2 linked regions of the Styela clava genome follow. The protein of the gene in region 1 interacts with the protein of each later gene in a pairwise test. Links are inferred from orthologs where the notes say so. Each region holds a gene or a part of one and is shown in the gene's direction. Other genes may lie near its edges.

Region 1 (12,769 bases):
AGGCTGTGCATAAGCAGTCATTGATAAGGTGCAACTTTCATTTAGGACGAACCAAAATTATTTCAATTCGACATCGCATAGCCAATTTATTACACCCTGTGTGAGGTGGTGAGCATGGGATTTCAGCCCAAGATCTTAAACCTCAAAGGCTATCAAAGTTAAGGCTAACTGTAACTAACAATACCGAACCCACAAATATGAAATTTCATAAGTGTCCTTTGTCTGAAGACACAACGGGTCAATAATTGTCACAAGTGTCTATGATGGTCTGCGAACCAGGCACCACTAAGCAGAACTAAGAATTCAATCCACATACCAAACTATGTTAACAATTAAAGTAAAGGCTATTATACCTGTGTGAGCAAACATGCTCTTCCACTGTCACATATAGTTACTCGTGCAAGTTCTTTTAATAATGCTGGATACAGTTTACGATTATCAACTTTAGATCCAACACGTTTCCCAAATGGTAAATCTGATACCACAACATCGATTGAATTAGTCTTCAGTGGAAGACAAGTAACATCCCATTGTATGGTATCTGCTCTGAGGTTCATTCTTTGCAAAATAGGATGGTTATTATTGATAAGGACAATCAAATAAATAAGTTTATACAATGATAAAATCCAAAAGATGTCGACCGGAATCTATAATACACCAGTAATTGATGCATTTTCAACTAAAGAAAAGCAGGGTAAAATGCATGACTGCAGCGATGTTCTACCGTTACCAAGAACATTGAAATTCGTCACCATTACACTTGTTTCTGATTTTAATTTTTGTCAGAAATCCATATCACATAATAAAATGATAAAGTTTATATATAGTGATCCAAAAGATATAATTTGTAGAATACTGTACTTCCTTTTATCATGAATCTATGAAAGCCAGCATTTTCATCTCTTTTTAGACAAAGTCTACCTTATTTAACACTGGAGTATTTTTCAATTTTAAATCATAATCACCAACCTTTTGTCTTTTTCATGGTGTCCATCTACAAAATCTGGATTTTCGTTAATAAATTGTAAATTACAAGAACATCTTTCTGTGGCCGAACTAGTGTTGTCACCTAAAATTTAGAGCTGAGTTTATTATGCTGTTATTTTTTACATTGAACTAAATGACACAAAGCAATCAATACCTCCTATATGATAACTATTTGGCCATTCCAAAGCACCTTCAACTGGTATAGCACCTGAACCACACATTGGGTCGACAACCAATTCTCCCGTCTGTATATTACACATTCTAAGCATGCAATAAGCAGTTGTAGCACGTAGTGTGGTTGCACCAAAATGAGTAATATTCCTAAAAATAAAAAGAGATATCAATAACTATGTTTAATTAAGGTTAAAAGATCCCCATTTTAATAAAATTACTACGCTAAACAAGTGTCTTTTAACCTCCTCAGTCCTCACACTCTCAAAAACCTTGGTGAATATTTACATATTTCAAGATGTGCTGTACAACATTTCAATTGCTTATTTAGCTCAGCCTAATTGACATTTTTTAAACGAAAAATATTATAGGATGAAACTGGCATTTAAAATAACATTTTTAAATACAAGCAACAATAATGTCAACAACAGCAAATAAGAAGGCATTCGTGACTCAATCTTGAATGATGAAAAACGGGGGTGATCTATTTGTAGACAAAGCAAAATATGACTGCAGTTGAAACACAAAATAGAATTTATACCATTATCTATTTCATTTGTAATAATGTTGTTAAATATATGGCTTATTGACCAACTGAGATATTGTTTTAATAATAACCTTCTGTGCAAACTCTGAAGAGTCAATGCTACTGCAACTTCCAATGAACTCTCTCCTAGACATAGCATAATCTCCAAGTTGTAATTTGACAAATCAACCTGAAATGAACACACTTTGTAAATTTCAATCCATTTTGAAAATTTGATATTTATTAATAAATGATATTGACAGCATAAGAATATTTTTTTTTATGAAATGATTTGAAATTTAATGTGATCAAGGCTGTCGAACACGAGTGTGCAAACTGTGGCCCATGGGCCGAATGCGGTTCACAAGAAAAAATTGTAACAAGTTAGCAATTTGGTTTAATCTGGTACGTGCAAGTAATTTCAATCCCTTTACGTTGTAAAGCATATACCGTAACTGAGTCCAAATATTTTTTATCTATGCCTATGAAGTTACAATGCCCTAACTAGCTTGTGCGAAACAAACAATGCATGTCATGGGGCCAAAGTATTTTTGCTTGCAACTACTAGAAAGCCTATGTTAAACAAATGGGCAGCCCGTGGTTTTACACAGAAGTACTTTCTGCAACTTCGCGAGCTGCAGTTTATTTATCTGCTGAATCGAGTTTAGCGAACATGAGTAATTTTTTCGGCATTTCAAAGTAAAATCAGACAGAGATGACGGAAGAAGAGTTGACCATTTGCCTTTATTCTTAAGACCTACCTGTTTGCCTATAGCAAAACCAAAAGGATTGCTGCAAACTTGATAATGAACTTAACAGTCAAAAAGCTAGGCCGACGGTTAACGAATATGCCCCTACCTTACCTTAGTTAGTCCGCTTTAGGCCAACGGTGACACGATATTGAACGGTCAGTTGGGCGACAACTTCACGATCCCTAGATCGCCATGGTGACCCATTTAGACGTATTTTTGATTTATTTTTCACAGAACACTCGGAAGACGCTCGCGAAACACTAGTGTTCGGCGGAACACAGTTTGGGAAACGCTGCTGTAGAGTGTAGACAATCAGTCCAATCTTTTACAATATAATGTTAGAAAACAAAACCTCACCTGCCAATCTGTAATATCTTGAATCTCGCCTCCAAATCGATAAGATGCTTCGGGGGAAGTGACAGGTTGTTTTTTTCCAACTCTATTAGTTGTGACACGATATCGCACCAATGTTCCATCTGGGGCTATATTGGGTACAATAGGAGTCCCATTTTGACTTGTTCGTGGCTTTTTTGGTTCTTGAGGCTCAGTATCAGATGATGCTAAAATGTCATCTTTTGCTGGTTCCCTAGGAGAGTCATCCAATTTATCCCCGTTGCAATAGGAATTGCCTTTTGCCTGAGATTTTGGGTACTTTTTGTAAAGGTTTTCTTGTCTTGATTTACCTTTGCAGTACTGCTTATTGTAGCCCCAAAATTTTACAATATCAGACCAGTTGATTTCTCTTGCTAATTGTACAAGATCAGCATAAGATTCTTCTTTAGTTTCCTTGTAAATATAGTTTTCACATGTTTTTACAATCAAAAACATGCGATCAATCGACCTCAATTTATGAGCAAGTGCTAAAGAACTTCTGTTTGTTTTCCAATACACACGACCTTGCTTGACAATTACATCACTCTTATCCATATATGGAAATTTTTCTTGTATTTCATTTGCAGCCACTTTTTCAAGCCCTGTTGCCACAGATGCAGCAACAGTGACATTATTGTCTGGGTTAATATGGTTGGGATTCATACTTTAGGAAAAATAAGATGGGAGTGAGTATAAAGAGAAGGGGTAAAAGGGTGGTCGTTCATAACTATGCCTTATTTGTTGACCGTATCACCAGTAAAATGAGATACCATCTGCCCTTAACATAAAGTGGGTTTATTTCACAATTTCAGTTTATTGTTTATCAATTCGGTATTCAAATTGGCAATCCATATAACAAAATTATCAATGTGATTCATTTTTCACAGTTCTAGTTTTCTACTTTATTTGTTATAGTACTATCAGACTATGAAACATTATCCTAAGTTTCCCTCGTTATTTATTTGTTTTATCTGTTTTGCTGTGTTTGAATTAATTCTATATTTTCCACTTCCTTTCGGTTGTAAAACTTTTAATTTAAATTTGGCACCTTCTAAAGCTTACATAAGGCTTTGTTTGCCCTCCTGATTCTGTAATTATTTTGTTTTTATTGTTTGTTATGCGCTTGGTACGATATGTCCCTACTAAAATTGCTATATATGTTTGCTATGCCTATGCCCTACTAAAATGGCTATGTCCATCCTAAAACGGCTATGTTCATACTGAAATAGCAATGCCCATACTAAAGTAAAAAGGCTATGTCTCTGCTAAATCAGTAAATTGGCTATGTCCATACTAAAATGGAAATGTCTGCTAAACTGTCATAGTATTCACGTGTGTGTTGCGTGAACGTAAATTAATACGTCCGTTCCTGCTTGACTAAAGCCTTGCTTAGAGTGAAAACGTATAACGCCTTATTAATGAAGTGTGACACAATACCGGTACATGACCTATCGCAGGACACACGGTATAATAACAAGTCTTTCTGGTTTTAGGTGTATGGTCCCAACTACACCCATTGTGTAAACGTAGATTAATACGTCCGCTTCTGCTTGTCTAAAGCCTCGCTTAGAGCGAAAACATACAATGCCTCGTTACTTAAGTGTGGTACAATATAGTTGCATGAATGTAAATTAATGTGCTTACCCACGAAATCACAAGTTGCTCAGATGAGGATATCGTGAACGTTGGTCAAAATTGGTGTCTCGCTTGAGTTGCGTATTCATTTTAGCTCTGCGAAACGGTGAAGGTACGAGAGAGGTCGCCGGCGTTTGTTCCATACTCGCATGCGCCTTTACGGGTAATCGCTGTACTTTGACAAGCTTTTATTCAGTGATTGTGACGTTGCAGTGACGTACCGGTACCGTGCGTTTTACATGGCATAGTCATGGGGGTTAGAAATGACATAGGATAGGCCTATGCCTGTATGCAGAAATCGTTATGCTACTCCCACTAGAAATGCTTGTTGTACTAACTGACTAAACTACCTAGACCAGTAGACCCAGGTATGACCGTATGGATCAGAGACTGGATATTCTCTATAGTCCTGTACCGGTAGTCAGATAGTGGTGGTAGCATAAAAGTCATATTACAATATTGGAGATGTGATATTCTTGTAAAAGTATCGCTTTGTGTCCACGCAGATCCTAATTATTCACAACTTATAAACAGTAGGCCTCTAAATGAAGAAAATGTCGGAAGAAGATGAATATGACAGTTTTGATGATGAAAAATCACCAAAGAATAGTGAGGGGAGATCGAGCAGGCAAAGCAGAGGTCATGATGAAGACACGGATGACGCTAGTGAAACTGACCGAGCTAAATTTGAAGAAGAAGCTTTGGACCAGATATATAGGGACAAACTTGGTCAACTAAAAAAGCAACTAGCACAACTTGATTCTGGCACTTTGCAAGAATATTGTAAAAGATTGAAGAAACTGGAACAAGTTCACAAAGATAGACAAAGACAAGCTCATGCACATCAAGAATATTTATTGTATAAAGTTGAACAAGAATATGAACGAGAGAAAAAAGCTGCTATGAAAGACTTTGATGAAAAGAAGGTTGAATTAAAAGAAAACTTAATTGCAGAATTACAGGAGAAAAAGAAAATGATCGAATCTGAGCGTCATACAATGGAGCTCACAGGAGTTTGTCCTTCAATGGGAGATGCGAAAACACAAGTGAAACGTAATTTACGTCGACGAGCACATGACCCTGCCCCAGCAAATAATGATAAACGCCGAAAACCGAGTCCAACGCAACTAAATTTTGTACTTGATGATGAAGAAATTCTAGAAGATCTTAAAATCATTAACAAAGGCAAACCAGCAAAACTTTCTCATGAAATATCAGTGGAATCTCACAATACGAGTGGACAACCAGTAGAAGCTCGAATCGAGGGAGGAAAATTATTATATGATAAGAAATGGTATCACAGGGGGCAGCCAGTTTTTATTTATAATTACAAAGATAACACAAAGTTCAGTGGAGTTATTACAGTGATCGCTGACAGAGAAATTACAATTCGCAAAACATCAGGTGTGTCTGTACGGATATTTGCTTCACAGCTTCATAGAGGAAAGTATGGAATAAAAAAGAGAATGACTCAATGACAGTGACATTGGCGCATTACCATATAATGTCATCAGTAAATGTGTTGTTACCACAGGATGTCACCGAAGGTGCACTGTTGTGAGAATGACAACCTTTTATTCCCCAAAATACGGGTCTTGTGGGAAGTCTGTATGCACTAATGCCTTATCCAGAGACTTGTTTAAGACGAAAGTATGTGGACATTGTGCTAATATTGTGATGTACTTAATAATATTACGGAGTATAAACAATTTTATGATTGTGAAATTTTGTTGTATTAGATCCATGAATTAGGCTATAAAAAAGTATGAGGTTTGATGTCTGATTTTAGCATCTCTTCTTCAGGGAGCAATTTTATTATTTTAAAATGTTTTGCTATGAAAGTTGTTTTGTGGAGCATCTGTCGTATATAACTGCAAACATAAATAGTTTCAAAGTGATATTATATTAGAATATTATTTAGATCAGGGGTGTCAAATCCTAATATGATGTTTTATGTTTATAAAGGCGCTCACATGGATAAAATACATAATGTTTCTTTTTGCTCTTGTCGCTGCATTGAATCTTTCGCTGTTTTGCTCAATGCATTTATTACTGTAAGGCTAAGCGAAAGCCGCAATCTCTCGTCTTGTCTTTACTGCTAAATTTCTTGTGTGACTCAACTAGATGTCTGATGTTGGTTATATGGCCCATTGATAAAAAATGTTACACACCCTTGATTCAGATATTTCATATTCATAATTATTTTTCATCCTGTGTTTGGGATGTGGATTATTCTGTTTCTGCCTATCCCTGTCATAGTGTGAAGTGAAAATAAACTGTTGAGTTATACCATTGCTTTATGATCAGTTTTAATAGAATAAGGTTCCGTTTGACAATTTGTTTTCACTTGCTGATGGATACTGCTGAATCGTCAGCAATCATATTTTTAATTGTATACCTAAGTTGACAGGAATAAGTTTCATATTCTTGTAATGTCTTGATCTAACAAATACCATATTATGACAACTGACGATGCTTAATTTTCAACCTTTCAACCGGTGGCTGCTTTAGCAGAATTTTGTTTATTTTTTGTACATATTTGTATAACATTCTATTCTTTTATTTAGCCTAAAGATTTTAAAAACCCTAATAAAACAAAATGTCATTTTGTAGACATTCTGAACCCGTTGCTCTTCAGCGTATTTGGAAAGCAATTGATGTTATTCGTGGCCAACGTCAAATTGCCAATCTTTCCCGAATATCTAAAGTTATACAAAGAGAGTACTCCTATACTCCAAAAGAAATTTTACATCATATTTTGAAGGCTGTGAAGGACAATATGGTTGTAGAAACGGTTTCAGTTGGTTGCAAAGGTTCCAAAGCTGGGATGGAACAAGAAGGTTATTGGATTCCAGAAGATTCTAAAGTTCACTGGTATGAACAAACTCATGATTGGTATTGTTTCATATGTCATAAACCTGGTAGACTCTTGAAATGCAAAGATTGTGTGAAAGCTTTTCATAAGGAATGTATGGAAAATTCAATAGAAGAAACCAAAAGTTGTAAATACTGTAGACGGAAAAATACTGCGTTATTGGATGTCAATCATACCAGAAAAAGTAAGGAAATATTTAACAAATGTTTGAGATTTATTGCTCACCGAGCAATGGAAAATTTTCCAGAGATATCGCATCATCCTGATGCGGAAGGTTATATGCATTATAATTACTTTATAAAGCAGCATATGAATTTATATGAACTGGAGAAGTTATGTAAAGAGAATAAATTTGAAGTTGCCTTGGATTTTCTTTGTTATGTAGAACTGATTGTTCATAATTGCATACTTCTGCTCGGTGAAAACCATGAATATTCAAAATCTGCCAAAAGTGTGTTGGAAACATGTATGCATGAAGTCAAGGAATTGTCTTTATGCTCTAACTGTTACTTTCTGTCCAGCACAAAACCAACAAAAGATTGGTTTAGCACTCCATGTCAGCCACCTCATAGAGTTGTTTGGGCCAAGCAAAAAGGATTTGAATATTGGCCTGCTAAGGTTATTCAAGTAAATAATGATCAAGTGGATGTTCGATTTTTTGGTGGTCATCATGAGAGAGCATGGGTTAAAGTTGATAGTATGAGAAGCATTGTTGTTAGTCCTTCAGAATTACAAATCAAGATAACTAAAAGTTGGAATAAAGCTAATGCTGAAATGAAAGAATACATCATACAGACTGAAAAAGTTTATGGGTCAAACTATGCTGCTCAAATTGTTTCTTTTGACTATGAATGTTCAAGCGAGGAATCCTCTGATAGAGGACAAGAACTTTCAAACATTGAGCTGCAGACAAAAGCAGCAAAGCGTAAGGCAAATCCGAAGGACTTTACGACAGAAAAACAAGGCAAAATTCGTTTAAAAATCTCAAAGTCTAGGCTTAAACCGGAGAGCATAACTGAATCTGAAAGCAATACTAGTGGAAGTTCTGCTGTGATAGGGATTATACAAACTACGCATGCAGATAGAAAAAAGCAGATCTTAGTGCTTGGTGAAAAGGCAAAACCGAATAGTGAATGTGCTCGTACTTGGCAATATGGAACTGACTGCATTGTTTTAATCAAAAAATATAATTTAAAGAAAAAATACTCTGGTCTTGCATACCCAAATATCCAAAGTTCTAGAAAAGCACACAAAGTGGAATCAGAAAAAAATCAATTGTCCAAGTCATTTAAATGCAACTGTCGTAAACGATATCAATTAGTGTTATCTCGATATAAAGCATCTGTGAGAAAAATGAGAACAGTAGAGCGAAAGCATTTGTTGATTTCAAGTGCATTGTACATTCGGCGATATTTAAAACAGCAATTCACTCGCGCACAAGATCTTGAAGAGGAAGTAGCTCGATTAAAATCAGAAAACAAATTGCTAAAATCAAGATTTCCTGAGAACGCTGAAAGTGCAGTAATGGACACGACAATATTAATTTAATTTTTCTTACATAACTTGGATCTGATTATCATTCACTATATTATTTGGATATCCTCAGTCATCAATTTGTTTCATATATATATTAAAAATTGGGCGCTCCAGGAGTATGTGTACTAGTACTGAAACCTATGGGCAGGGGCTATATTCACTTGGCTAACACAGACTGTCCCTATTCACTTGGCTAACACAGACTGTCCCTGAACTCCCTAATAGAACTAAAATGAGGAAAATCCTAATAAATTATGGCCTAACCCTATCCTGGTACACACATTTCGGGAGTACAGAAAATTGCATGCGTTAACGCCAACTGTGCATCTGTCAATGAATCTTTTTAATTTAACCTTATCATCATACTAAAAATTCATCTCTGTGTATGCCTTTAAAAATTTTAAGTATGAAAGTGAAAAATAAAAATGGCTGCTTCCATGTTTCATATAGCCTTGCATCGCAAGACTTGTCTTTTTATTCTCATCTATGTATTATGTTTTTATCTACACTGGTTACAAACCTGTATATCAATCACTGTTCAATAATTTGGAATGAAAATATTACATGAAAGAATTTTTTTTCAATCATGAATTATAATATTTCTCTTTCTACATGAATCTTGAGTTTAGCTTGGTGTTGTCTCTTTGTAATCATGCTTCCTACAAAAATCACATTTACTCAACATCACGATGCTCGCCAATACTGCTACTCCGCCAATACTGCTACTCCAATAACCTAAGTTGGTAAAAATGTTGCTGATATTTAGCCATATCAAATTAATTTCAATTCAATCAATTGGAAGGAATTTTTTTTCAATTTAAATACTGTAGTTATATCGGCTCTGCTAATGTTTTAATATAAAAATGAACAATTCAAAAAAGGTAACAATGTCACATTAGTTTTGACCAATTTTTTAGAATACTGGGTTCATAGCATAAATCATCAGATACCGGTACTCTCATTTTTGGACATATGGATAAAACTCCATTAATATCAAATATTTATAATTGAAATTCATCGAAACAATCCAGGTTATGCTGAATTCAAAAGTTGGTGGTATTGATAAAATGTCTACAATACAGAAAAACGCCCAAGATATGTCCTTGCCCGTTGCTGAGATTTTTATTCCATCTCGCAGATTGATAAATTCATCTCATTATTACATTGTTTGATCCAGATAGAAATAATTTTCTAAACTAAATTATATCATTTCCATTGGGAGTAAATTACGGTAATTTCAATTTTTCGTATCTCTTTACAAATCAATAACAGAAATTTGCAATCAAAGAATGTAATTGACCTACTTGTTTTCAGTATGGAGTTAAAATAATAAGAAATTTTCACTGTATTTGTGTTTATATCATCTGAACCTGTAGCATGAATTTTTTGTCTGCCATCTACAGGTAGTTTTTTGTTGGTGATTGCAAACTGTTTATGAGTAAGACTGTCCACATACCAGAAAATTTGTATGAAATTCAATAATTGAGTGCAAATGGGGTGTTGTATATTCAATTTTTTTCTGATGGATTTTTTTATTTTTTGATTTATTGTATACTTAGAAACACAAATCTGTTAACGCCTAATTTTCTTTTGTGTTTTTTGCATTGTGTCTTATTCTAATCATTGCTCAATTTTGTGTTCAATATTCCTTACTTTAGTAAAGCTTTAAAAACTAAGTTGTCTTTTCTTAATTTTTTTGGATACATAACACAAAGGACGAGACATAGATTCTATCGGTGAGTAAAGCAAATATATTGAGTCATTGCATGGATTTATACTGACGTTGTCTATTCCCTGAGTTTCCCACAGGCTCATAATCACGTAATTTTCTTGAAGTCCTGAATTCTCATGTTATTTAATCCATCAGACTGCTAGGAAATGTAACTTCAAATTGAATTATGAATAAAATTTATTATCACAGTGTTAAGGAAAGTAGTTGAATTCTTAAACTATAGCATGCAGTTTGAGTTGAGTTTTCAATGTTTTATTTAGAGTTCAAAAAATAGAGTAATAAAATCGAGATAACCAGAATATCCAAGAGAGATAATATGTTCTAAAGCTCCTGTAATAAATATTCTCTTTATCGCATTTTACAGCATCTTCACTTTGTAAATATGAGAATTGGAATTTGTTCAATCCTTCATGCATGTCTGCTGACTTCAACTTTATGTGAAACAATAAATTTTGATCCATATGAGGTTATGAGCTTAGATCATTCTGCGTCACAATTAGATGTGAGATCTAAGTACAAAAAACTTGTCAAAGAATGGCATCCTGATAAAAACAAATCACCAAATGCACAGGAGAAATTCATCAAGATACAACAAGCTTATGAGGTAGGCCTATATCGTTTACAGTATAGTGCCCAAGGTTTGACCATTTCATGTATATGAGATTCGTGGACTTTCAATAAATGTCCCAGGCGGGTTTGTGGGTCGGACCCTCAATTTGAGACTGAGAGTTTGGGGAAAATTAGTTATTATATCATAATAGTGCTGCTCATGTAATCGCTGCTCCTGTTTTAGGAGCTATTGCCTGTGAATTATTTCTTCTGTTTCTTGAACCCCCCCCCCCCCCCCCCCTTTTAAAAAAATGCCTATGCCCCTGATGTTGAATTAATATAAAAAACACAAATCTGAAGATTTCCTATACAATTTTACAACCTATTTTATGATAATTTGAAGAGCTTGAAGTGAATTGTCATGACATTCAAGTCTTTCTTTACAGATTTTATCAGATGAAAACAAGAGAGAACAATATGATACAGGTGGTTATACTGGTGACAATGTAGGACAATGGCATCACCAGAGCGAATCCTTCAACTTTCGTTATTCTGATTTCTCACATGACTTCTTCAGTTCTCAAGGTGAATAGTCAATGCCATAAAAAATAGGAAAATTGGTAGTTGTCTTATCGTTATTGTTTCAGTAAAATCTTATTTAAAACTGGAAAATCTTCCCCTTCCAGGATCTAGTCGAACTATTTCAATCCATGACTATTATACAAGAATTTTACCAGACAGTCATCATACACCTCATCTCATTTACGTTTACTCAACATTTTGTGCTCAATGTATATTATGGTTGAGAACAACTTGGCATAAAGCTGCATCTGATATTGAAAACCTTGGTGAGTTTTTATATTTGCATTTTTCTATTGTAAACCACATGCTGCCTTAACCTCAGTAAAATTTAATTATAGATATACTATGGTTTTTGGGCTGTGCTATACTCCCATGTCCCATTATATTTTTTCTTCAAACATTCTTAGTTCTATCTTAATAAGTTAAATTTAAAATAATGATGGTTGGTTCGATCGAATAGCAATGTATCATCTATTTATTCATTTCAGTAGAAATATTGGGCTTGAGAAAGCTCCAATATTTGAGTTTACGCTTATTAGATGCAAAGATGTAGTAAATAAACTGTATTGATTAAAGAGTTTTGTGATTAGTTTGGTGGTTGCCTCGTTGTGCCAAGAATGCCATCGCATTTCGGCTTACCCTCCGAATATTACACGGGGATAATTCTTTGCAATAGTATTGACAACGGATTCATGCTGGCAAGGTATGGCTGCATCTACAACCAAGTCCATGCATCTGAAACAAACAACCTTTTATCTATTCCCATACCCACCTTGATCTGGTAACCAGACGAGAGGCTGTGTTTCGCCATATGATTAGGTTGTCTTATCGGCTTTCCTCTTCCCTTGAATCCTATCCTAATATCCTCTTTCTATTAATAAACGTATCATTTATTTCCAGGTGTTGCTGTTTATACTGTTGATACAACATTTACATCTCGTATTGCTGTTAGTTTGGGAGTAACAAGAGTTCCAACAATTATAGGAATGTACAAAGAAAAAATTTATTATTTCAAAGGACAAATATCAAGAGAAGAATTGAAATTTTTTATT
Region 2 (13,166 bases), on another chromosome or scaffold:
GGAAGGTATACTATGTGATGATATCCAGTCCACTAGATTCTGAGATTTCCCTACCGATCATTTAACGATAGCATTGTTTCGTATGCAAGCAACCTATACGACTTTTTAAAGATATCTGAATATTGATAATAACATGCGTCTGAAGCGGATACGAGAACGGAAAAGCAGCAGGAATAAGCGGATGATGCAACACACACTTGCAACTTATCATATATTGATACCCTCGTTACAGCGCCATGCTTGTATAAAGCTGTCAAAACGCGCTTACAGCTGCACGTGCTGTGCGCACGTGTTGCATCTGTCTGGCCTTCGCTTCTTCAGTTATTTCCATTTTAGCGTACGTGACATACTTTTTGCGTTTGCGATACGAATACTAGTAACTAGGAAAGGGTGGTCCAAGGTTGTCGGCTCCGCGGGCCACAAAATTATTTTTGCATTGTTCGCGGGCCACAATAGTGCCAAGTATAGGTAAACAGTGCAATACAAAACAAACGCTTTTATTGTGCGAACACATAGTTATCAGACCTAGCTATTCCAGGCTAATAGAATCTGCATTCTATTTTAAGTTTTCTATGATGCCTATATTGTTTGCATATATTCCCGACCAAATAAATAGAAAGCCAGATAATAATTTAGACTGCCAAGCACCTCATTCAACTTCGCTAGTTGCCTCAGCTAGCCATAACACTAGTCAATTTAGTGACATTTGAGATGTAATAATATGTCAAAAGATTTTTCTGATTTATTTTATTACGAAACAACACGAAATGCGATTTTTTGATTACTCTCCGAATGTGACGCGGGCCATAGATAATGAAGCGGCGGGCCACGCGTGGCCCGCGGGCCTGGGTTTGGACCACCCTGAACTAGGATATATACGGTACCTTTTGCGTCAGCAATCGCCACAATTACAATACGGATACGAGGTATATTGTATAAGTTTAGATTGAAAGACTGGAAATTTGCATATGATTCAAGTGAGTGAACGAAAAGACGAAATAATCGCAGTGGGATCGATTTCATATTTCAATTGGAGAACAAATATCCATTTCTTCGGAGCCAGATTGTTGTTGAAGTAATGATTTGTCAAGGAATGTAAATTTTGATAGGAGATAAAGATATTATGTAACCTAATATGTATATTTCCAGGAAGAAAAGGATCATAAAAAAGTTGCAGTGTGAGGATTTAGGCTGTGTAGCAGTAAGCAAGGATATAAATTGACTAACAGGTGATAATTTATCTCAAAAATCAGAATCAACTTACACCATACAGCCATATCAATGAAAATTTTTGATTGAGGAATTAAAACTCTCGGCAAAAAATATATGTGGTGAACGATACCACATAAATTGATCACACATATTTTAACTTCAAATAATGAGTGTTTTATGATGGATTTTTTTCCATTCATTCTGTCATTGTATACGAAGTCACCAGCTGCATATGACAACATAAGAGGTGCTTTACGTTTGCCATGTGAATCCATTTTGCTTGATTTCATGCTGGTACTAATACCCTTATTCACATAAATTGGATACCTATCATTGCTATTATCTAAACATGGCTTCAACATATATATTATATTTATGATTGTAGATATGCCAAAAAAATTTTGCATCATTTTGTCGAGTGTTTTTAAATTATTGATTTGTAATAAATAGCAATAACTTTTTCATTGAATGCATGAATATTTCTCCTGGAACCGTTACTTTTATTAATTCCAGTTTGTTTTATGAGGTATTCACATTTTTGTTTCAAATAACACTTTGTCAGAGTGGCTGTTATACTTATATATATGAAACACACATGCTTAGATGGTAGACAAGGTCCAAGCTTCAATCGTTGTAGGCAATTTATTTCAAAATATTGTAACTAAAATATAAATTTTTGCAGACTGCTCGAAACTCACTTTTGAAGAATGATTTGCTGTCACCAGATGGGGTTTTGGCATGGAAACACATCTAGAGGGAATTTATGATTATGAAGATCTAAAAAAACATTTGAAACAGCCATTTAAACTAACAGACCAACATGTTTAACTCAATAGCTTGACAAAAATGTCTGGTAAATATTCAGCACAGGAATAGCACAAAGTATTGTAAGTAGATATTAATTTATTGGTATTTTTTATTGGATCTATCTCCTATTGAGCATTTAAATACTTGGAGCATGATTATTATTTCTGGAATTACCAACATTATTCAGGTCATCAATAACAGATGAACCATGGACTTTTTTCTTTCTAGGTTCTTCCTGCATCTGTGAATTTGAAGCAACTGCCAAGTATTGCAAACTTCAGAATACCTTTCTTGGCATATGCAGAAGCATTACAAACGTGGCCTATCTTAAAAACGGAAATCTACTCCCTCTGAAACATCTGGAGACAGAAGACTGCAGTGGATCAGCCAAAATTTCATAAATTATTTTACACACTGAAGTCTACAACAGGTGATTAGCAAAAATAAATGCTATACAGCTGCATGCAACTCATTAGGATAAAAAACAACAACATTTCATTGCTTCTCCAACGTATGAAAGTCTCCAAATATACCATATTAGACCAAACATCTGTCAGACCCCCCCCCCTCCGCTTAAATGTAAAATAAAAGTCTTCTATATTCATTTTCTATATCATACATATAAATTTTTCGTGGCTTGAAACACTTTTTAAAGTCAGACCATCTGGACTATTGAAAACCCACATTTGCCGGCTTCCGCTCAAACCTTCTAGGGGTTTTGGTCTAACTTTTCAACTAACCCTCCCTATGCCCATGACCTTAAATATTGAATAAACCACCAAAAGATTTTCAGTTTAAAAGATGCATATTTTCCAGGTTGCTGGGCTGAGAATCCATCGATGCTCCAGTTCACATATAATGAGAAATTCATTGAAAAGCATTGTGGCAATGTGCATGTGATAGAACCTAAAATTTACCCCCACTAAGAACCACTCCCAAAGCCTCAAAAAACATCAATGCCACTATTAACGTTAATGTATGTTTTGTTGTGAAATCTTTTCTTTCTGTCACTTTCGAAAGCGTAATTTTTTTTAACAATATGAGTTTTATGACTAGCTGAAATTCCTTCACTGTGATAAATTTTTCTGATAACATATCCTGCTATGTAATCTAAAATTTTGATTTCTTCGACTGTGAGATTGGTGGTTATTACGCTTTTAGATTTAGTATTATAATTATAGGCAGTGCTGCCATCGATATGAACCTCAAAATAAGGACAGGGAAACAAAGTAATAAGATAACAATGAATGAAATGTAATAAACAGAATGTAATCATGCAGTGCGACCCTTGTATAATCATTGATCTTATGAATAATCATATCTTATGAAGTTCCAGATCTAAACCAAATTCAAAGTTTAATTTACCGGTATATTCATTCATAAGGACACATGTCAAAATAAGAACGTTTGTTGAAAAAAAGGGCAAAAATGTTTTCTAAGACAAAGGCCTTCGAAATAAGGACGTTATGGCAGCCCTGATTATAGGTCAAATGGAGAAAAAAACTTCTGTAAAAGGTACAACACTTGAGATAAAGTGAGACCAAAACGCTATGCTGCTAAGTTTTTTTTTTTTTTATATAAATATAAGGTGCAAAGTATTCATTTTCGTCACCACCCTACCTACATCTGACTGACATTTTTTGCAATGCATCGCATTTTTGATGCCTTTCTTTCGACAAGACAGACTGTGTCTTCATTTTCACAGTTATTTGTTCATTTTTATCAAATTTTCCACGTCTCTCAGCAAATATTTCGATCAGTAATACACGAACAGGGGAGTTTGCGAGCTCTGATGCAGGAGCGTCGTCGTCGATAAGCACCTTGTCTGAACCTACCGACCGTGACGCCCGCCACTTGGAGGTGCAACATCGCCTTCGTTTGTTTATTATACGGCGAGCGGAGTTGGACATCTAGTAGTAGTATATATTTACGTCCAAACTGTACAATATACGTGTATTATTTTTACCTCTTGGTGACAGCACATTTGCACCCATAAATTTTAGCACCAGCATATGAGTATAAGTTTAATTTGATTCCCCCAGAAACAAACCACACGCAAAACAATGAACACACAAAAGTTTGGGGAAATCTTCAATAAAGTCTAAAATATGGACCCATGTACACTTGCACCCGTTGAAGTTCGCACTCAGATACATTTGCACCTACGTACATTTGTACCTATTCATATCCGCATTCATGAACATTTGCACCCATATCATTTTCACGCACACGCATTCTCCGTTCCATGAACATTTTTACCCGTGGATATTTGCACCTGCATACATTTGTACCCACTGTTATGTTCGCATGAATAGCATCCCTGGTCTACAGGCTAAGTTGGATCTAACGAAACATTACGATCACGATTCAAAAATGCCATAATATATTCAGCCCTGCCTAAATATTATGTATAGGTGTTGAAAATTTGAACCTTGCCAAAAATCCATGTATTATCTAATTCTAAACAGCGAAAAATAAATATTATCAAACCATAAATGCTACCTACATGACTGCTCAAACTTTCTGTCTATAGATTACACCTTTCTTCCAAGTCCTATTATTCGATCGCTTGAAATTAGTAAAAATTGGGCATTGTGATGCCACTGCTACCATTGCGAATGAAATTTGTCATACTATTCTTGAAGTGAGTCAATTACTTTCGCATACTTCAAAAGGTATTATGATCGTTCGTCGGCCAAGACGGCAACACGTCGTTCTGCAAGTTTATTTCTGAACTTAGCGGCGGAGGAACTTCCATTTGTTACGTAATAATTTGCGCTATCGGACATGCCCAGACTCGTATTTGGCGCATGCACTGTACTGTATTCTTCCAGTTTTGGAACAAACACACAACAGGCGCTGCGTGAAACTGGTTCAAGGCAATTTGTCGGAGTATGTTATTGAATTCACTCAACATCAGACAGGATCGACTACTAGAGATGGGGCGATGAACCGGTCGATCGCGATCAACGTGTTGGCCATCCCTCCTCTATTGCGATTCACTTTTATGTTATATTAACTAGGACTGGGAATGATTAGCCAATTTTAGATTGTTAGCGGTTACGATTTATTTAAACCGTTAACTGACATCTAAGGTAAAAGTCATTTTTATAATGTACAATTTTTCCAAAGATGATTACGTCATCGCAAATTTATCGTTTAATTCGAAAGAATATCACTAACTGCATGGTAAGGACCTAATAAATGTGAAAAATAATTGAAGTACCAAGATTGCTGATTATGAACATTTGACAATGATAAATTCAGAATCAGTTTTCGGTCGAAATATATTGTTCACCATTTTTTATTGCAAAATACTATATTCAATGTCATTCAACAAGTGCGCAGTCGATGCTGTGTTACTTCATGATATCTCAGAGTAGAATTTGCACGCCGAACACTGAAAATTTGTCACATGAATGACATTTAAAAACGGATTCGGGTTTAAGTAAAATATTTTCAAATGTCCGAAGCAGGTAGCATATCTCTTGCAGCAGAGCGATCATGATACTATCTTCATTCGTGAATAATTTTGAGCGATACCGGGATAAGATCACGCGAAGTTGCTTTGTAACCATTGTGAAGTAAAAGAGTAAAATTATCAGGTCAAACGTCACGCTGTGATTAACCGGTTGATTTTGCCTGGTTAACGGTTAAAGTGTTTCACCTGAAATTCCCAGTCCTAGTTATAAACCGACGTTTTTCGAAATACTATAAATCATCCTTCCTCCGAACGAACCAACCGAAATAGATTCATGAAATTGCGCACTTGTATAGCTTGGATATCTTCGAAAATGAACCAAGTCCGCGGAGAGCTTATTTATTTATGTATCACTATAACGAGACGAATAAACATACATACATACATATACATATCCCAGTATCGCTCAAAATTAATCACGGGTCTTTGATAGATAGTTATACTTAATATCTAGTTATGACTGCTTGGGCTTGTCCGAGGGGAAAGGTGCGAGTAAACGATGTATAAAAGAGAATGAATCGTATTAAAAAATGAGCACGGATAGATCAAGTGTTTAGGGCACTGTTTCCCAACCCGAGTCCGCGGTCTCAAATGAGTCCGCAGAGCGTTTGAATGAGTCCGCAACGAGTCAGAAATTCACTGCGGGCCGCAAACGTTTTTGCGAAACTTATCCATCAGCCAAGTTACGATTTACGTTAAAATGTACATAAAACATTAAAAGCAAGTTTATTCACATAACATTAATCGAGTCAATAACTACTGGATACTGAGTGGACATATATATATACTGTATTCGAAAATTCAACTATTAGAATAGCAATTTACTATTCGAAAATTTGGTCAGGTGAAGCGACAGGTCACTTGCGCGTCGCTTAATCAAACGATTGGATTTCACAACTCACTTGCGGATTCCCGACGAAAACACGAGTCGGCACACGCATGGATAGCTAAGTGGCGTTTCTCACGAGCTCGAGCAGCGAGGAATAATTTTTTTTCTGGTGTCAATGGTGGCAACCTAAATTTTTCAAATGAAAAAGCGGAAATACAAAAAATAAAACGTAAAACACCATAAGATTTGTTTTATGATGGTCCGCTACCGATTAAAATCGCTTTTTAGACATTGCAAATCGCAAAATTTCGGGTGCTACCGTATGTATCAGGGCATTTTCCCTTAGGATTCTTTGCTTTACTGCCTGCACATTGGTACGTACAGTACTGGAGCGCCGTAAGTGTTGTACGACCAGCTCAGATTTGTCGAATTCACAAAAATACGAATCAAAACAAAATATAATCGGGCACTTTACCACGCATTTTTGTGTCCACGGATTGTCATGGTATTTTCTGAGTAGTATTGCTTTTATTTCGTCAACACAATCACATATTATAATGATCACAATTAAATTAATATTAAACCAAGGCGATGAATAGTTTTTTTGATTTACTAATATGTTTTAATTACCTTTTTAATAAGTACTAAATCAACTTGTACTTTCTGGAAATTTAAAGCAGATAACAAATTCTCAAGATCGCAGAAAATATTTAACAAAACTAAATATAATCGGGCCATATATTCTCACATTAATTTGTTCGCTACTTTTCGTGGCATTTTAAAGAAGTAATGCTTTCATCTTGTCATAAGTCGACGCAACCGCGAGCCATGAACACAATTAAATTAAAATAGAAAGACATTTTAAATTCTCGTCGTTATCATGGATTGAATATTGTGCGATACAAAAGGCCATTTATACACTAAAGAGTCGGCTCTTTTGACAGACGCGTAATTGCGGCAAATTTCCGATTTTGAAATTCGTTAAAATTCTGTTGTGTTTGGTTTTATTACTTCACACAGGATACAATTGCAATAAACGCACGTTGAGTCTGCAAAGATTTTTAACGGTGAGAAAATAGTCCGCGACCAAAAAAGGTTGGGAAACGCTGGTTTAGGGTGTCGAGAGTCCATTTCGGAATAAAGGTCAATGCGTAAATAAATACTAATAAATCGCATGACTGATATAAAATTGATACTATCTCGTTCGATTATCCTTGTGGCAAGGGCCACAAGCGGATCCGAAGTGTGTAGGAATGTATACAAGGAGAAAGGACCTGCAGTACAATATCTTAAAACTCCCCGAAATAAAAATAGTTGTTATTATGGCATTCCTTTTTTCATTATTTTTCAATACTCTAGCAATTAGGTTTCGACTATGGACATGGTGAGAATAGCGCGTTTAAAAAGTAGAATTGTCCTGCTTACAAAGGAATTTTGCCACACAATTTGCGCTCACCACAGAGGTGGTTTGTTAATTGGCTGATTTAACAACATAAAGGCGAGAAATACGCAATTAAAGTTTTTTTCTATTCATTTTTCCCGGTTGTACTATTCTGGTTTCTTGTGATATATTATCATTTGCATATGTGACATAAGCTGCAATATCATAGCGTATTAGGTCATCGCTTATATCTGAAAAAAAAGAGAACCGCCCTCTGTTTTTACACGTTTGGAAGTTGTATACGTCAGAATTTACGCGAACTCGTAATGCGCATTTGTATCTGTCGCGTGTGTGTGTGTTCGTGCGCGTAATTATTACCTTATAAGGAAGATGCGCAATCCATATTCGGGTCAAGCCTACATTTGTTACGCCGGTGTCATTTCTCGCAGGCGTCGGTAGCGGCCGCATCAAGGTAGTAAAGTTTTAAGCTTTCGCAGTTTTATTCGTCACAACTAGACTTTGAATTCGCTTTCTCGTTTGAATAGAAGTTTATTTTATCGATAACTAAAATATGTCGTACTCGCTCGAAGGAGGAAGTCCATGGGGCTTTCGTCTTACCGGAGGAAAAGATTTCCGTACGGAATTGGTAATTTCTAAAATTACACCGGGAGGAAAAGCAGATCGTGCTGGTATAAAATGTGGCATGGCTTTATCGGAAATAAATAATCAACCTACCGCAAATATGACTCATATGGAAGCTCAAGGTCAAGTAAAAAACGCTGGGCATACACTAGTATTAATTGTCAAGAATAAAGATGATAGTGTTTCATATGCTACCAGCGGTGTTGAGAATTTGAATATTTCTTCACCACCAAAGCCATCCGTCCAAACAAGTGCAACTTATGTGAAACCAGTGCAAACTTCTGTACCTCAGCCTAATCGGTATCAACCAAGCAAACCAGCCCCCGCTCCTGATTTTCTTCCACCCCCACCAGCAGATGAGCCTCTTCCTCCGCCGCCACAAAGCATGCTCGGGCCTGGACCACAGATGAAGCAACAGTCTAACAAAGGGGATGAAAGTGATCCAATATGTGAAGGGTGTAGGAAGATTATTCTTGGTCCTTATCTGTCACATCAAGGCAAGAATTGGCACATTGATGAATTTGTATGCGCTGCGAGCAATTGTAGAAAACCACTTCAAAATATCGGCTTTATTGACGAAGGGGGAGAGAGATACTGCAAAGATTGCTATGAGAAGCATTTTGCTCACACATGTGGAAAATGTCACAAAAAAGTTGTCGGCGAAGTAATGCATGCTCTTGGCCAAACCTGGCATATGACATGCTTTGTATGTAAAGCATGTGGTCAAACCTTCAAAGATGGTGTATTTCAAATGCAAGGTGATCAACCATACTGTATTACTGACTACAATCGTCTGTTTAGCCAGGTATGCAAAGGGTGCAACTTTACCATCGAAGCTGGAGATAGTTATTTGGAAGCACTTAGTGCACAGTGGCATGATACGTGCTTCGAATGTGCTGTTTGCCATTGTGACCTTAAAACTGTAGGATTTTTTGCAGCTGGTGGAAAACCTGTTTGTAGCAATCACAGAAATGCCAGGGTTGCATGAACAACACAACATATAAGACTCATTTGATGTTATATTTTTTTGATATCGCCCAGCGTTGTTTTGTATGGTACATTGTCATCCTTTATGGGTGACTGGTAAAACCACATTCCCTGATTAGGATGAGATTATTTTTCCTGCTGCATTGTTTTCTATATCCTGAGATTCTAATTTACAGAAGTACACCAGATAACTGAAATACTATTGTAATTTAACATGAACATCAAGATCATTTTTCTTTCTCAATTGGAAGACTGATAATAATGCATCATGACTATTGTACTAAGCTAGTGTCAATTATAGAAAGTGCTCGTATAATTAATTAGCTCTTTTTGCTCTATTTAGTTTTGCTACAATATACATACAAAAAAATGGTGTCTCTCGATAAAAAATTTTGAAATTATTGTCAACAATCTAAATGCTATGTTTCCCGGAGTGGTTTAATTAAAAATTTATACGAAACAATATCTTGCCTTTGCAATTGGCTCTCAGGTTCAAAATAAGTTAACATGGAAATACACAATTGTAGCCCTCAGTTTTGATGCTTTTCATAGTAAAGCTTGCAGTGGCATTTTAGAATGTTAATATAATATTTACCTTTCATTATCTGTTTAAAATTCTGTTTGCTACCAGACGTATGCCCAGTATACAATCCATTGACTTTTATATGAATCACCAAATTACATTCAGATATTTGTAGCTTGTGAGTGTTGTGACTACAATCAGTGCTTTTATATTTTCTATTATGAATGGTTGCTTTTAACTTCTGTAAATGGATTTTTCATCTTATGTCAAAGAATTAAACAAATGTCCTCATTTGAATTTGTGCTGTCGGAATATCACAGCATTGATAAGACTAAATCATCATCGGTCGGAAATTTGTTGCTCTCAACGTATAACATAGCTTGAAATATTAAGATTTTCCATATTTTGTGTATTCATGTTATCATTTGTTACTGTAAGACTTATTTTTATTTACTTGCCTCCATTGCTGTAACCTTGTCAATTGTGATCTAAATCATTGTTATCAAATGTATGGTGGAAATTTTGTATATAATTTTGATTTTGCACTAGCATTTTTTTGTTTTATCCCAGTTGTATTATTAATAACCATTTTATCTACATGCGCATCAATAAAGTGCACTTTTAATATGATATATTACTGTACATATACATAATTCATTGTGATTATTGTCACTTATCAATGCTTGTAATAGGCTACATAGTATGAATTATTGGATTGATCTTTTACTTATCAAATAACTCTCTTTAATCGATCTCCGCTGCATTGATTATATCAAACCCTCTTGATCATATTAATTACATTCCAATCAAATATTTTTGCTCAATATAAATTGAAATGCTGTCCATTGTCTTGAAATATTTCTTATTCTGCTTTTATATTTTTCATCCAATTGTCTATAATTAACACAATCTGTAGCTTGGTATATACAGTGCTTTGTCTATTTTGCCATCAAAATATAATATATTGCTCATGTAAGTCAGGATATTACTGATAAAGTCAGATGGTGTTATCATATATTCAGGATACCATACTAAATTTCAAGTCCTGTTTAGCTGACTGGTGTTGCTCAAAACTTAGCCAATTCTCCTTTCCATGACTGACTGGAAAACACATCCCAGCTTTGATGAACTGGTTTATAACAGAAGCCTTGATTTAACAGTAAATTATCACTTTAATAAATGTTGCCCAATTCATAATAATTTTGAACTGGTTATGCTGGCCCTTTACTAACCCTGGCGTTTTCGGTGCTTTGTTAGTTTTAGGTTAAGGCAAACCGGATGACTATTTTGTAACAATTATATATATTAAGCCTAATGTTTTAATATGGTTTTGAATAAATATGGCAAACCTTTTATGCTGATATTATTAATTGCATTGTGTTTATTATGCTGACAACCTGTCAGGTTATGAGATGTTTACCAAAATGTAGCAAGCCAATAGAAGCTATTTTATTTACATTCAGTCGGGTTTGTTAAACGTCTAAAGCTTATTCGATTTGGTAATATTCATCGCCGTGAGCGTATTATACACAACAGGCAGTTCGCTCTATCGTTATGTATTAATCACTGTTCTTGCCCGAGGTGTGGAAACTCACACCCCCATGACAATAACACAATATTTAGCACTCGCTTTAGATTTAGAACGAATATGTTATCTCGTTTTAGAAATATTCACAGTTCCCCTTTATCTTAGATAATCTTGCAAGTAATTGTGGAAACGAAGACTAAATGCAGGGCGAAGGGTGTGATGATAGACTGCATGTTGCATAACGTGTTAGTTGAAAACATAAGTGCGAAAAAGGAAAATATACAAACATGGATAGACCCATTCACCCATGTCGAATTGTTCAGATTTCCTTCAACAAAATTCTTTCGTTGTCAATCGTTCCAGGTATAAACTCTTTTAGACTTTTACTATTTGTTTCCTCTAACCGAGTTATTATTACCGTGCCCTCGCAGAGACGTCGACACGTCCATCCCGCACCGCGACCTTAATTACCGGTACCCTTAATACTACTAAAAAGTGTATACGCTAAAACTGCAAACTGATCTGAGTTGCTCGCCAGTGTATTAGAATAATTAGATGCAACTGCGTAAATTTGCATACCTATGTCAAAATTTCAATTCTTCGAAATGTTTGCGTAACTTTTGGAGAAAGCAGTTAGGTACTTTTCCCCAATGGCCATTTCAATAACCTTAGGCTATTGATAGTTGCCATACGGATAACACGTTTGATTTTGTTGTTGGGTACTACTGCCCACAAAGTGCAATGCTTTATATATATAATGACCCGCTCTTTATTGGAAGTTTTCAAATGTCTGTATCCTAAATGAGAAAGAGTGTATAATAATGAATGTGTCGTGAATACTCGTGATCAGTGTTTTGTTATAAAATAATATACTCAGCGACTGTAGTTATATATATATATATATATATATTTACGGTTATATTGTCAAAGTACTGTATATATAAAATGATACAACCACAAGAGATAAAACAAAGGCAACAGACCAGTTCCCGTTTGTGCAATTACTCAGCGTCCTAGGTTAACGCCATGGTCATGCACATTCCAGATTGGGTGCGTCGATGAATTGAAGGTATCTTTTTGCACCCACCTGCAGTCGGGTTTACACAACTAGCAGGAGTAAAAAGTTGTCTAACGCAGTGGTTCCCAACCTTTCTACTCTGGCGGACCGGTTAAATTAAATAAAATGTACTCGCGGACCGGCAAAAATTGAAATGAGTGGAACAGGGAATAATAACATAATATATTTGCGTAATCGGGCAATCACTATGCTTTTAGAAAAAAAGGTACACTTAAAAACATTTCACATGAGGAAAAACGATCAAATAATGTTCCACCCATTATGAATAAAAAGGGCACACATAAAAAGATGTAGTACGGTACATGCTAAATCGTGTACAAACACAATTAACTCCAGTGAGAATTTTGCTACTTTTCCGTTTCCAATACAGGATTACAAACGAAGCATCAAAAAAGGTTTTGCAACACGTAGCTCTGCAGCGGCTCACAGTCAATTTATTTGCTTCGTTTTAATTTTAAGCTAGAAGTAACTGGTTGAATATTCGGACAACAGTTTGTTTGCTCGATTACTTAGCGATGGGTATTCGTTATCAAGAGATTTCGAAAATGAATTGTGACAATGATTCTTTTATAAATCTGGACTGTGGAGTAGTGGTTTTATCGGGCTCAAAATCCTGCTGTGCATCACCCGGAAAATATCTCATCGGCCCCCGCTTTTGTTGCACGTCTCGGGACCATGTGTAACAAGTTCCTATCTCG

The links.
Region 2: the proteins of zinc finger MYND domain-containing protein 11-like (region 1) and PDZ and LIM domain protein 7-like interact in a two-hybrid assay, tested with the Homo sapiens proteins (2 studies listed by BioGRID). The link is inferred for Styela clava from reciprocal best matches to the Homo sapiens genes ZMYND11 and PDLIM7.

Annotation. Positions count from the first base shown.
Region 1 is NC_135252.1:4,483,331-4,496,099, reverse strand, and holds zinc finger MYND domain-containing protein 11-like, read left to right. Parts: upstream 1-7,032; 5' UTR 7,033-7,042; coding exon 7,043-8,866; 3' UTR 8,867-10,530; downstream 10,531-12,769. Other genes in the region: tRNA (guanine(6)-N(2))-methyltransferase THUMP3-like, read right to left, coding at 354-558, 970-1,069, 1,142-1,308, 1,777-1,874, 2,794-3,471; sin3 histone deacetylase corepressor complex component SDS3-like, read left to right, coding at 4,989-5,921; dnaJ homolog subfamily C member 16-like, read left to right, coding at 10,969-11,190, 11,582-11,720, 11,822-11,983, 12,618-12,769. UniProt on the Homo sapiens protein: Chromatin reader that specifically recognizes and binds histone H3.3 trimethylated at 'Lys-36' (H3.3K36me3) and regulates RNA polymerase II elongation. Does not bind other histone H3 subtypes (H3.1 or H3.2).
Region 2 is NC_135261.1:7,125,152-7,138,317, forward strand, and holds PDZ and LIM domain protein 7-like, read left to right. Parts: upstream 1-8,122; 5' UTR 8,123-8,281; coding exon 8,282-9,340; 3' UTR 9,341-11,215; downstream 11,216-13,166. UniProt on the Homo sapiens protein: May function as a scaffold on which the coordinated assembly of proteins can occur. May play a role as an adapter that, via its PDZ domain, localizes LIM-binding proteins to actin filaments of both skeletal muscle and nonmuscle tissues.